2 linked regions of the Rattus norvegicus genome follow. The protein of the gene in region 2 purifies or fractionates together with the protein of the main gene of each other region. This does not show direct contact. Links are inferred from orthologs where the notes say so. Each region holds a gene or a part of one and is shown on either strand. Other genes may lie near its edges.

Region 1 (5,973 bases), on a different chromosome or scaffold from region 2:
CACACACACACACACAGGTCAGCCAGGCATAGTGACATTAATCCCAGTAGCCGGGAGATACAGGTAGGCAGATCTCTTGAATTTGAGGCAGACTGGTCTACATAATGAGTTCTAGGACAGCCAGAGCTAAACAGAAGACACCCCCCAAAAAAAGTTCTTTTGTAGCTCCTGTCTATCTTCCTGCTTCACAAGCCCTAGCTTTTTAAAAAAAAAAACAAAACCTTAGTAGTGTGTGGGTAAAGAAAAATGTTTTACTCTTTGTTGTTGTTGTTGTTGTTGTTTTCAGTGTTGGGGAATAGATCCAGAATTCATGCACACATTCTAGGAAAGCATTCTCCAACTGAGCTGTGTCCCCAGTCCTAGGAAATTTTGGCTTATGTTCTTTCCTCTGAGCCTGGTTTTTCTGTGTAGCTGTGAATAGCCTAGAGCTTGCTCTCTGGGACAGATTGGATTCAGACTTGCTGCAATCCTCCTGTTCCAGCCTTTCAGGTGCTGGGATTCCGGGCATGCACCACCACACCCAAGAGGTAGTTTATAGGATAACCCATTTGATTTAATTTTCAGTATTTCGTCAATGTATTTTATAGGGGAATTTCCAATGAAAATGGACAGTTGCACATCAGTATAGAAGCAAGTAAAAACTTGCATTTAACAACTAAAAGCCACATTTTCCTTTTTTCTTTTCTTTCTTTCTTTTTTTTTTAAATATGGACCAATTTACAAATTTGTGTGTCATCCTTGTGCAGGAACCTTGCTAATCTTCTCTGTATCGTTCCATTTTTAATATATGTGCTGCCAAAGCGAGCACAAAGCCACATTTTCTTAGTGCTAACATTTTGATTCAGTTAGCATGGTATAAATTTGAATGTAGAATATCAGGGCCTTAAAAATACATATTAACTGGAAAAACAAGAGCTGCTCTCCATTTTGTTAAATTTTAGTTGGTTTTTTTTGTTTGTTTGTTCTTTTTTTAGTTTTTATGACAGCTTTTTATAATGCTGTTATCTAAAGCAGGTGCCAAAATAAGATTATGGAGTATAAATGATAGAAAAGGAAATTGATGCTACCCTAACATAAAGTAGGCAAAAGCTGACAAGGAATGGAAACAAGTCTACAGTAGGTGCCTTTGTTGTTGTTTGTTTGTTTTTGAGATAGAGTTTCTTTGTGTAGACCAGGCTGGTCTCAAACTCCTGCCTCTGCTTCCTGAGTGGTGGGTGATGGTATTAAAGGTATGTGACACTACCGCCTGGCTAATAGGTGTCTTTTATAGATAGTAATTTAATTAATTAATTTATTTATTTATTTTGGAGCTGAGGACTGAACCCACTTTAATTTTATTTATAGTGACTTATTTAGTTAAAATTTTTATGTACAAAAGTTTACCCGAGTGTGTTCCTGTGCATCAGGTGTGTGCAGTGGCTGAGGAGGCCAGAAGAGGGCCTCAGATTCTCTGGAACTGGAGTCACCAGCACATGTGTGCTGGGAATGGAACCCGGATCCTCCAGAAGAGCAACCAGTGTTTAACTGCTGAGCTCTCTCTCCAGCCCCTTTTGTTCAGCCTTTTAATTTTTTTTAAAGTTTTGATGGTGCTAAAATTTAAACCTTGCTTGTGAGGTAAATAGCATTCCACTGCTTAGTCAAATACTTTGTCTCTCTTTGAAAGACGTTGCACTGTTACCTGCCCTGCCCTGGGCTCTGTAGACCAGGCTGGCCTCAAACTCACAGAGACCCACCTGCCTCTGCCTCCCGAGTGCTGGGTTTAAAGGACTGTGCCACCACCACCTGGTATCTACATGGTCTTTGCATACGTGTATCAATATTGCATATTAATATGCACATTCCTACTGATGGTTTTTGTTTTTTTAGATAGATTCGCACTGGGTAGTGTGAGCTACCTGGAACTTACTCTGTATACCAGCCTGGCCTCAACTTAGATCCACTTGCCTGTTTCCCGCCAGCCTCCCAACGTTGGGAATAAAGTTATTTTAAGCTGGGTGTGGTGGTACCTTTCACCCTAGCACTCAAGAGGCAGAGACGCATAAACCTCTGTATGGTTGAGATCTACATAGTAAGTTCTAGTTCCACCAGTTACACTGTAAGGCCTTGTCTCACAAAATAAAACAAATCCAAAACAAAGGTGTGTGCACTTACACCTCACTTCTTACCAAATGCTCGTCTTCTGTGTGTTTGTTTCCAGGCTTTATCACCTTAGTGGCAGAGTGTTATCAACAGCACTGAGCACAGAGCCTGACGTACTGGTTCTGCACGGAGCCTTCACATCCGACACGAGGCAATGGATTGGCTAGGCAGTATTGTGTCTATCAACTGTGGAGATAGCCTGGGCGTCTACCAGGGAAGAGTATCAGCAGTGGATCAGGTCAGCCAGACCATTTCTCTTACTCGGCCCTTCCATAATGGGGTGAAGTGTCTTGTACCAGAAGTCACCTTCCGGTAAGTGTCCTGACCGACGTCCTCCAAAATCCAGCCTGGTGGGTTAGGTGCTGGAGTCGAGGTGATTGACAGTATCTTCTTGCCTGGGCTGTTGGAGTTGAGTCTTGTCAGAAAGGAGAGTTCAGTCTTACAGGCCTTAGAGTTCTGTTGTTCCTCTCAGTGGAGACTGGTGTAATACAGTCATCATCCTGTACTATCTCTTGCCAGGCTTGCACAGGACTCAACTGCCAAATTCAGAAGTGCCCCTTTCTCTTTTTTTGTGGGGGGTGGGGAGTTTCAAAAATTGGGGCTTTTACGGGTTTTTTTTTTGTTTTTTTTGGTTTTTTTTTTTCTTTTCTTTTTCTTTTTTTTCGGAGCTGGGGACCGAACCCAGGGCCTTGCTCTTCCTAGGCAAGCACTCTACCACTGAGCTAAATACCCAACCCCACGTTTTTTTACTTAAACACCAAGACAAGATTGCAGTATGCAGCCCAGGCCAGCCTGGAACTCCCAGAATTCTGCTCGCCTCTGCTTCTCTAGCTATTTTAGATATGTTAAAGTAATCGTAATATATAGGCATAGAAAGTAGATATACAATAAAACATCTATTGTTATTGGACCATATAGAATCTTTTATATAATCTTTGGTATATATAGAACTTTACCACTTATAAAAGGTGGATGTGCTTACTTATTTTTACATAAAGAATGCAAGATTGAGTTGGCAGAGGTAGTGCATGCCTTTAATCCCAGTACTTGGGAGGCAGAGGCAGGCAGGTATCTATGAGTTCAAGGCTAGCTCAGTCTACAGAGAGAATTCCAGGACAGCCTGGACTAGACAGAGAAACCTATCTCAAAACAACAGCAAAAAAGAATTCAATTCTAACATGGCTGAATATTTGATACTGTAGTACACAGAGTATCCTCTTAATACTTTGATTTCATAGTTGTCAGAGGAATGTGGATTCATACATGTAGCTGAGCTCTAGATACTTTGTCTCCCGTCTGTCCCAGGTGGGTGGTCTAAAAGATACCTCAGATTGAAGACCTGCAGCTGAACACGTTTATTTACAGGTTTCTTCCTCGGGAGGCCTGGTCATATTATTGACACCTTTCACCAAAGTTAGACGTTTAAGACTTGGACTGGTGACATGGCTCAGCAAGAGAAAGTGCTTGCTCACAAGCCTAGCAGCCCGAGTGCAGTCCCCAGAACCAGCTCCAGCACATTTCCTCTGACTTCCATGTGCACACTGTGACACTCTGTCCCCTCCATCTATACCCTTCCCCCATGCAATGAATGAATGTAAAGAATCTTAAAAAATTAAAATTTCTCAATGTGAGAGACTGCATTAACTATGTAACACATGTGTGTCTGGTGCCTAGGTAGTCTAGAAGAGGGAGTGGGATTGCATGGAACAGGAATTACAGACAGCTATGTGTCCTCTAGAAGAGCAGCCAGCCTTCTTTTTTTTTTTTTTTTTTTTTGGTTCTTTTTTTTTCGGAGCTGGGGACCGAACCCAGGGCCTTGCGCTTCCTAGGTAAGCGCTCTACCACTGAGCTAAGTCCCCAGCCCCTGCAGCCAGCCTTCTTAACCTTTGAACCATCTCTTCAACCCAAGGGAAACATTTTTTTTTTCCTTTTCTTTTTTTTTTTTTTGGAGCTGGGGACCGAACCCAGGGCCTTGCGGTTGCTAGGCAAGTGCTCTACCACTGAGCTAAATCCCCAACCCAAGGGAAACATTTTTTAAAACAGGGTCTCAAAAGTATAACCTTGCCTGACCTGAAACACACTCTGTAGACCAGGCTGGCCTTGGACTCACAGAGATCCGTTAGCTTGTGCCACCATGTCCAGGGTCCAAGAAAACAAAACCTTAAAAAGGAAATTTAAGAATCATAATGAACGGGGTTGGGGATTTAGCTCAGTGGTAGAGCGCTTGCCTAGCAAGCACAAGGCCCTGGGTTCGATCCCCAGCTCCGAAAAAAAGAAAAGAAAAGAAAAAAAAAGAATCATAATAAACTTTTTCCCAAATATGATGATCTAGAGAGTACTCTTAGAGTTTCAAAGAAAATCCCCATCAGGAGCTGTCCAGCACAGAAAAGCCAAAAACAGGTGGAAGAGCGACTGTATCATCCTGGCTGCCTTGTAACTCTATGTAAACCATGCTGCCTTCAAATGGTGATGATTGGAGGTGGCGATCCTGCCTTTGTCTCCTAAATGTAGGATTCTGGGCAAGAGCTGCAATGCCCTGTTGGTTCCTTCCTCTTTCCTGTTGCCATGGAAAAGTCTATTGTGCTTATGATTATCACCTTACCTTCCCGATAGCCTTCCACAAGCATTTCTCCTTATGTACTACCGTAGAGAACATTTGCAGTTCTTCCTGTGGACAGTGCCAGATTTTCTTAGTCTCTGACTCTCTGGGTGAGATGTCTTTCACCCTAGCGTCCTCTGCATGTGTCTTTTCCAGTGCGCAGACTGAGTCCCTTAAAGGAAGTACTGTGTCTCTGTGTAGCTTGCTCATAACCAGGGCTCACCACATAGTAAGGGCATTGTATGTTGAAAAGCAAATGGGTGAAAGAATTTAAGAAAGCTACTAGCATTCTGGAAATCTAAGGAGGCTATAGAGCTGTTCTTAACAACTGGGTCTCTAAAGTAGTGTATGAGTTGCAAGTTGGTGGCTGGGCATGGTCTGTAGATGTCCTGCTACCTTTCTTAATTTCACTTCTGTTAACCCTGAGTTACTGCAGTTTTGCAGAGTGCAGTTTCTTCCTTAACCCCAGTTTCATCTCTACCACTTTCCTATTGCTACTATAATTTTGAGACTTGGACTTTTGTGTGTTTCAGGGCAGGTGATATTACAGAATTAAAAATCTTGGAGATACCAGGTCCTGGAGACAACCAGCAGTTTGGAGACCTTCATCAGACAGAATTAGGCCCTTCTGGTGTTGGGTACCAAATGAGTATCAATCAGAATGGAACAGGCAAGGTGGTCAAGAAGCCAGCCTCTTCCAGTAGTGCCCCTCAGAGCATCCCTAAGAGGACAGATATGAAGAGCCAGGACGTTGCCATTTCTCCTCAGCAGCAGCAGTGCTCAAAGAGTTATGTGGACAGGCACATGGAGTCTTTGAGTCAGTCCAAGAGCTTCCGTCGTCGGCACAACTCCTGTAAGTACAGTCAAGGTGCTGTCTTTTGTAACCTGGTGTTTCAGGCTGTAAACACTTACCTACTGTTGCTCCTTCCATGAGTCCGTGATTCCTCATACAAAGGGTTTCATGGAGATACAGTGTGTTTCTGCCATTCTAGGGCCAGTCCCTCAAGATACCAAGGAAAAGGAAATGACTTATTAGAGGTTCACCCAAGCTTCTTGCCCACTTTGTCACTTTTCTCCCTTCAGGAAAGGTCTTGGATCTGCACCATATTCATGTTTTAAATCTCATAACTGTTGGGGTTGTGATACCTGATTGACTCTACTTGGGGTATTCCAGCTAATTTCTTGAGTAGACTTTTACTTAGAGAGGAGGGGCTAGTGTAGGCATTGCTGTTACC
Region 2 (6,530 bases):
GTCCCGCTTGCCGTGTAGGCAAGTGGGAAGGCAGGAAGCCAAGAGACCCACGAATTTGAGAACTGTCCCGTCTTTGGAATGCGCGGTGAGATTGTATATTAATTAGGAAAAGGAAAACGAAGTGGGTAGGTGGGATAAATAAATGAAGAGATAGTGTATGTACAGGTAGTTTTTTGTTGTTTGAAGACAAGATCTTTTGCGTCTCCGACTGACTTTGAACTTTTGATCCTTCTGCCTCTGCCTCCTTTGTCCTGGGATCAGGGGCAATGCCCAAGGTACCATTCACGTATTGCTGGGAATCGAACCCAGGATTTTATGTCTGGCAAGCAAATACTCTACCCACTAAACAGCATCCTCTGACCAGAAAGATTTTTTTTTCCTTTGTAATAACCCCACATGACTGTCAGATGGGTGGAGGAGGGACAGTGAATGAAGACTTGGGAGTTTGTCCAGCAACAATGTGCAAATACGACGTGTTCCTCGTTCAGAACGCAGGGCTCTGGATAAGAGGAGAGAGGTCTGGCGCCTGGCGCGTAGCTCAGGGGCAGGGTGCACGTGTAGGACTCTGGATTTATTTCCCAACATCAAACACATTCCGAGAAGAGGACAGGGCCCTTTGGACAGGTGGACTTGGTTTTCAGAGTCACAAAGCCCGGAATGTGCTGGGAGATTGAAAACAAGTGGAAATAGTCTTGTTTAGACAGAGCTGAGGACCTGATGGGACTGGAGGTACACTGGTGTTTTTAAAGTAATTTATTTATAGACAGATTTTTCTCTATGTAGACAAGGCTGGCCTGGACCAGAATGCTGGGCCCAATTCTAGGCATACCTGTTTTCTGATGCCCTGTTCAATGCCAGTGTCACAGGAGTTTAAAGGAAAGCTCTGAACCCTCAGGAGCAGAATTTGGGTCATTCCCCAGCCTGTCGTATGACCCTGTGTCATCCCACTTACGATTCATTTTCCTATCTGCAAAAAAGGAAGTAACTCTTGTTCCCCTGGGTTTTTCTCCTTTCGTCATCAGAAATGAATGAGCTGGGCCACAGAACAAAAACAAAAGGGAAATATGTAATGTTTTGTTACGGAGTCTCTGGGTATCTTTATAAGCACCACGGAAAACTTGTAAAGGAAGCCTTTAAACACGTTAATGACTACATCTGTAACAGGCTTTGTAACAGGCTCGACAGTCTGCTCCTTTCAAGATCTCTCGGACCGCCCCCCTCCCAAAAAAAAGCAAAAATAACGAAAATGGGGTGTAGCTGGCTTTCAATGACTCCCTGCCACTAGCATCTCAGTGTATAGGTTACACAGAATGAGAGTCTCCCAATTTCACACGTCGTTATCAACTCTCCCTGAAGTTTAAAAGGACAAAAGACGCGGTATTTCCACGTGCACGTGGGGCCTTTCCTTTGAGACAAGGCTCCGGTCCCGGGCCAAGAATAGCTGGTATCGCCTGACTGCTAATACCAAGCTGATGAGAAAGAAGGTGACTACAGGAGCAACCTCTGATTAAACCCAGCGGCACCCTCCCACCCTCGCCCGCGATCAGGAATTTTCCTGCTCCTCCCGCCCTCTCGGAAGGGGCTGAGGCAGCATCTGGCAGGAGAGAGCTAACATTTGTGTCGTGATTTTCTCTCTCCCAGGCGCTCGGACCCGGATCCTTTCTGAGGGGATCAGAACCTTCTGGTATCTTATGATTTTCTTTTTCGTTTTCTAAATTGAGAATCTTTTGTCACCCGCTCCTCGCAGCCCAGGTTCCCCCCCCCCCAACTCCCCTCGCAGGCCTGTGACTCCCTCGGTGTGCAAACGCCGGTGACTCACGTCTTGCACAGCCCTTCGCCCCCCGAAACACAATCGCCACCCCCGGGATCTAGCCCACAGTGCATCGTCAACCCACCCCAGCAGCCTTGGAGGTCTCCCGGCTGAGTCACACCAGAGGACCACCCTGGTCGGCATCCACACACACGCGGTCCCCCTGCTCATGGCCTCCGCGCCGGCCACACCAACGCCCTTCCATTCCTCACAACTTGCTACGCTCCAGCTCCAACCCTCGACCCCCCACCACACCCCAAATCTCCGGGAAACGCAGAGCCGGCGGAGCTGGCCTCGGGCGGCCTTTGATGGCTTTGTTATTGTTTGGGTTTGAATCGATACGCCCCTCCCCATCCTTCCTCCCCCGGCCGCGCGCGCCACCCAGCTCCCCGCCTCCCTGCACGCCCAGCGCCCCTCCCCCTCCGTTTTGGCGCCTTTTCCTTCCCGCCACGTCGTGGCGGCGTTAGCGACCATTCTGACCGCGAGGCGCGGGGCGGGGCCCGGGCGGGGCCCGCAACGCCTTATGCAGATCAGGCCGCTTATGGTTGGCTGCAGCCTCGCCCGGGGGCGGGGCCGAGGCCGAGGGGTGTAGCTGCGAGGGGGCGGAGCGGAGGGGAGCGGCCCTGGTCCCGCCGCCTCCCCGCCCCCTCTCCGCCCTCCGCCGCCGCGCCAGCCCGGCTCCCCACCTCGGCCTCCCGGAGAGGCCCCGCCCCGTCCCCGCCCGCCGCGCGCGCCCTCCCCAGCGGCGCGCTCCGCCCCTTTACTCCTGGCGGCGGGGCGAGCCGGGCGTCTGCAGCAGCGGCCGTGGCGGCGGAGGAGGCTGGAGGGGAGTCGGCAGCGCCGGCGGCGGGATCAGCAGTAGCAGCAGCAGCAGCAGCAGCAGCAGCAGCAGCAGCAGCAGCAGCAGCAGTCACAGTCAGCAGCAGCCCTGGGTCCCGCGGCGCCTCTCGCCCCGCCGCCTTCCGCACTGCCTGACCCGGCCGGCGAGCCCTCCTGCCGCCAGCCCCGCCAGCGCCCTCAGTCGTCCTCCGACTCGCCCTCGGCCTTGCGCGCCAGCCGCAGCCCGAGCCGCAACACCACCCGCAGTCTGAGTCCGGGCCGTCGGCTCAGCCCCAGCTCGCTCCGCCGCCGCTGCTGCTCGTCCCGGCACCGGCGCCGCACCGACACCCTGGAGGTGGGGATGCTCCTGTCCAAGATCAACTCCCTGGCCCACCTGCGCGCAGCGCCTTGCAACGACCTGCACGCCAACAAGCTGGCGCCGGGTGAGTGTCCCCACCCCACCCCGGGCGCGCGGGTCGTTGGGGGGGACCCCCGCGTGGGCCGCGCGCGCTTAGTGTCCCGTGCCTCTCTCCCAGGCAAAGAGAAGGAGCCCCTGGAGTCGCAGTACCAGGTGGGCCCGCTGTTGGGCAGCGGTGGCTTCGGCTCGGTCTACTCGGGCATCCGCGTCGCCGACAACTTGCCGGTGAGTGGGCAACCCCGCCTTGGGGAGGGCGCGCGGAGGGATGCTTTGAGCTGGAGGGTCTGATGGAGACTCGGGGGGTCTGTCTTTTCCTCCAGGTGGCCATCAAGCACGTGGAGAAGGACCGGATTTCCGACTGGGGGGAACTGGTGAGTGAGCCAGAGCCCGAGACCCTCGCCCGGGTGGGTGGGTGGTGACGGGCGTGCCGGAACCGGCGCGCTAACCCTCGCCCTCACTCACCCTTGCAGCCCAACGGCACCCGAGTGCCCATGGAAGTGGTCCTGCTGAAGAAGGTGAGCTCGGGCTTCTCGGGCGTCATTAGACTTCTGGACTGGTTCGAGAGGCCCGATAGTTTCGTGCTGATCCTGGAGAGGCCCGAACCCGTGCAAGACCTCTTCGACTTCATCACCGAGCGAGGAGCCCTCCAGGAGGAGCTGGCCCGGAGCTTCTTCTGGCAGGTGCTGGAGGCCGTGCGGCATTGCCACAACTGCGGGGTTCTCCACCGCGACATCAAGGACGAGAACATCTTAATCGACCTGAACCGCGGCGAACTCAAACTCATCGACTTCGGGTCGGGGGCGCTGCTCAAGGACACAGTCTACACGGACTTTGACGGTGAGCCAGGCCCCGGGGAGGGAGCTCTGCCCAAGGTGCCGGCTTGGAAGCCTCCGGCGGCCTCGGCTCCGGCCCTTTGTAAAGGTCATTGGGCCGCCTGGCTCAGAGCTGGCAGGGGTGGGGCAGAGGCGAGCTTCCCGGCATAGCACAGCCGGGGATTTCAAGCTGGTTGAAAACCTGCAACAAGCATTTCTGGCGTGATTGGTTTTTTTGTTGTTGTTGCTGCTGCTGCTGTTTGCTTGTTTTTCTTTTTGGTAGGAATTTAGTAAATTCCATGCTTTCCCCGTGAATAAGAGGTCGTGGGCAATCCGGCTGTAGCCCAGATTTCTAAAGTATGACCCACTTTTCTCGCCAGTAGGAGGTGGAGCCGGTGGTGGCGGGAGACTTTAGTGCCGGGTTCTTTTTGTTTGTTTGTAGTTTTGTTTTTGTGTGGGAGTTTTAAGGTAGTTCGTAGAACTGCCGGGTTTTGTTTTGTTTTGTTTTTGAGGGCAAAGGACTAAGAGCCGCGGTTCACTCCACTCGGGGGTATTGTGGGGTGACGAGGCCTGGGACGAATGTTGTGAAATTAGATCTGTTGCTGGTTTGAAAATTAGTTGGGTGTCTCCTCAGGGAGGCTGAAAACCTATCTATCCTAGGGAGGGGCTTGGATCGCGTTCTTTCAGAAAAGGAGGGGAGGGAATAGTAGATCAAAGCACGAGGGTGGGTCATGATCTGAGCGGCTCACCCCAACAAACTACGTCCTTTCAAAACTTGTGACTCTGGCTTGTGGTTTGAATTTCTTTGGAGGATGCTGGGCTGGGCTGCATTTTTTGTATTTAACAGTTAATGGCTGGCTGAGTCCTCCCCTGTGTTTTCCTCCCCTGGGCAAGCCTTTACTGCCCCCTGTTGGGCACCTTGAGGTTAGCGCCTTTTTTTTTTTTACTACCCAAAGTTTGTAAACAGGAATCACGTGGTCTGAAACCAGCCCTGCAATCGTACCTTTCCAGTTTGGGGAGGAAAGAGTGTAGGTGTCCGGGGCCTAAAACCCAGAGGAGAGGGGTTGGGGATTTAGCTCAGTGGTAGAGCGCTTGCCTAGGAAGCGCAAGGCCCTGGGTTCGGTCCCCAGCTCCGAAAAAAAGAACCAAAAAAAAAAAAAAAAAAAACCCAGAGGAGAGTTTCCAAAGCACACCCTGACTTCAGTGTTGTGTATAAGGGTCCTTAAGTGGCCCGTTCTAGATGAGACTAATCTGGCAAAGTCTTTGGAGTCGTTGTAGTTCAAGGTTATCCCGCTGAGTGATTAGGGCCTCCACGATTCAGCTTTTCGCTGCCTCTGTCTTTTGGGCCAGTGTGTAAAGGATTTGGGTTTAGGGTTTGGGTTCCTGGATAGGTACCATATCACTTGTCTGGACCAAAGAGGCAGAGATGTAGTGTAAATAATGTGTATGATTGTTTTAAAGTTCAAAGTCTTGCCTTCTGAGACCTGGGATTCAAGGCATGTGCTGCCCAATCCAAGCCAGGCACTGCCTTTAAGAAGTATTTTAAAGCCTGGTGGTGGTGGTGGTGGTGGTGGTTCATGCCTTTAATCTCAGCACTGGGAGAGGTAGGCAGATCTCCAGGGCAGCCTGGCCTACAGAGTGAGTCCCAGGACAGTCAAGGCTACACAGAGAAACTCTGTCCCGAGGAAAAAAATCTTTAAAGAAGGGCTCTGGGCTCCGACCGTTTGCTTTGTTTATTTTTGCTAATGCCGGCTTCTTTCTATTCCCTCTGCTGGTAGGAACCCGAGTGTACAGTCCTCCAGAGTGGATTCGCTACCATCGCTACCACGGCAGGTCGGCTGCTGTTTGGTCCCTGGGGATCCTGCTCTATGACATGGTCTGCGGAGATATTCCATTTGAGCACGACGAAGAGATCGTCAAGGGCCAAGTGTACTTTAGGCAAAGGGTCTCTTCAGGTAACTTCCCTTGCCTCCCCCAGCTCTCCCTTCCATTTTTAGGGTTGGTATATTTGAAAGGCTGGTTTGGGGATTGCAAGAGAGTATGGGGGTGCTATTCCTACCCACCTTCTTAGTTTTATTTTCTTATGGGGAGAGTAGGGGTTTAACCTGCCTTTGAGCCCCGAACTACTGGGGTTAGAGTTACTCCTTTTGGCCTCGGAATCCCATCCAGGCCTTTTTTTTTTTCTTTCATTTTTTATTTCATCTCAAATTGGAATAAGTTTTTTTTGTTTTTGTTTTTGGTTTTTTTTTTTTCCCCCCGGAGCTGGGGACCGAACCCAGGGCCTTGCACTTCCTAGGCAAGCGCTCTACCACTAAGCTAAATCCCCAACTCCTGGAATAAGTTTTATATACATCCGGCCCCAACTCCAAGACCCTGTAAAGTTTTAAGTATTAGCAGAGACCTGGTATCTAAACGGAAGTTTAAAAAAAAAATCAAGGTCTATTGAAGCCTTCTCCCCTTAAGGCAACAACTCTCTTAAGTACTGTGGTCCCGGTGACCTCATTCTGGGTAGTGTCAGTGTAGGTCGGTAAGCATAAGAATTGAATCACCTCATCTTGCTCAGTGATGGCTCATCAAAACCCTTGTCATCCTTCCTATTTCTGGTGAGTGGGTGTCGTGGGAAAGGCCGGCTATTGAAGTCTGAAACCACAGGTTTAAGAGGGGAGGCACG

What was found.
Region 1: the proteins of Pim1 (region 2) and Edc3 purify together in Homo sapiens (affinity purification with mass spectrometry; 3 studies listed by BioGRID and IntAct, counting the BioPlex papers as one, with this or other methods). This does not show direct contact. The link is inferred for Rattus norvegicus from reciprocal best matches to the Homo sapiens genes PIM1 and EDC3.

What each region holds. Positions count from the first base shown.
Region 1 is NC_086026.1:67,004,162-67,010,134, forward strand, and holds part of Edc3 (enhancer of mRNA-decapping protein 3), read left to right. Parts: intron 1-701; exon of another isoform or gene 702-808; intron 809-2,197; 5' UTR 2,198-2,293; coding exon 2,294-2,451; intron 2,452-5,271; coding exon 5,272-5,591; intron 5,592-5,973. UniProt on the Homo sapiens protein: Binds single-stranded RNA. Involved in the process of mRNA degradation and in the positive regulation of mRNA decapping. May play a role in spermiogenesis and oogenesis.
Region 2 is NC_086038.1:7,553,509-7,560,038, forward strand, and holds the start of Pim1 (serine/threonine-protein kinase pim-1), read left to right. Parts: upstream 1-2,987; 5' UTR 2,988-2,990; coding exon 2,991-3,072; intron 3,073-3,165; coding exon 3,166-3,272; intron 3,273-3,367; coding exon 3,368-3,418; intron 3,419-3,517; coding exon 3,518-3,884; intron 3,885-5,637; coding exon 5,638-5,814; intron 5,815-6,530. UniProt on the Homo sapiens protein: Proto-oncogene with serine/threonine kinase activity involved in cell survival and cell proliferation and thus providing a selective advantage in tumorigenesis.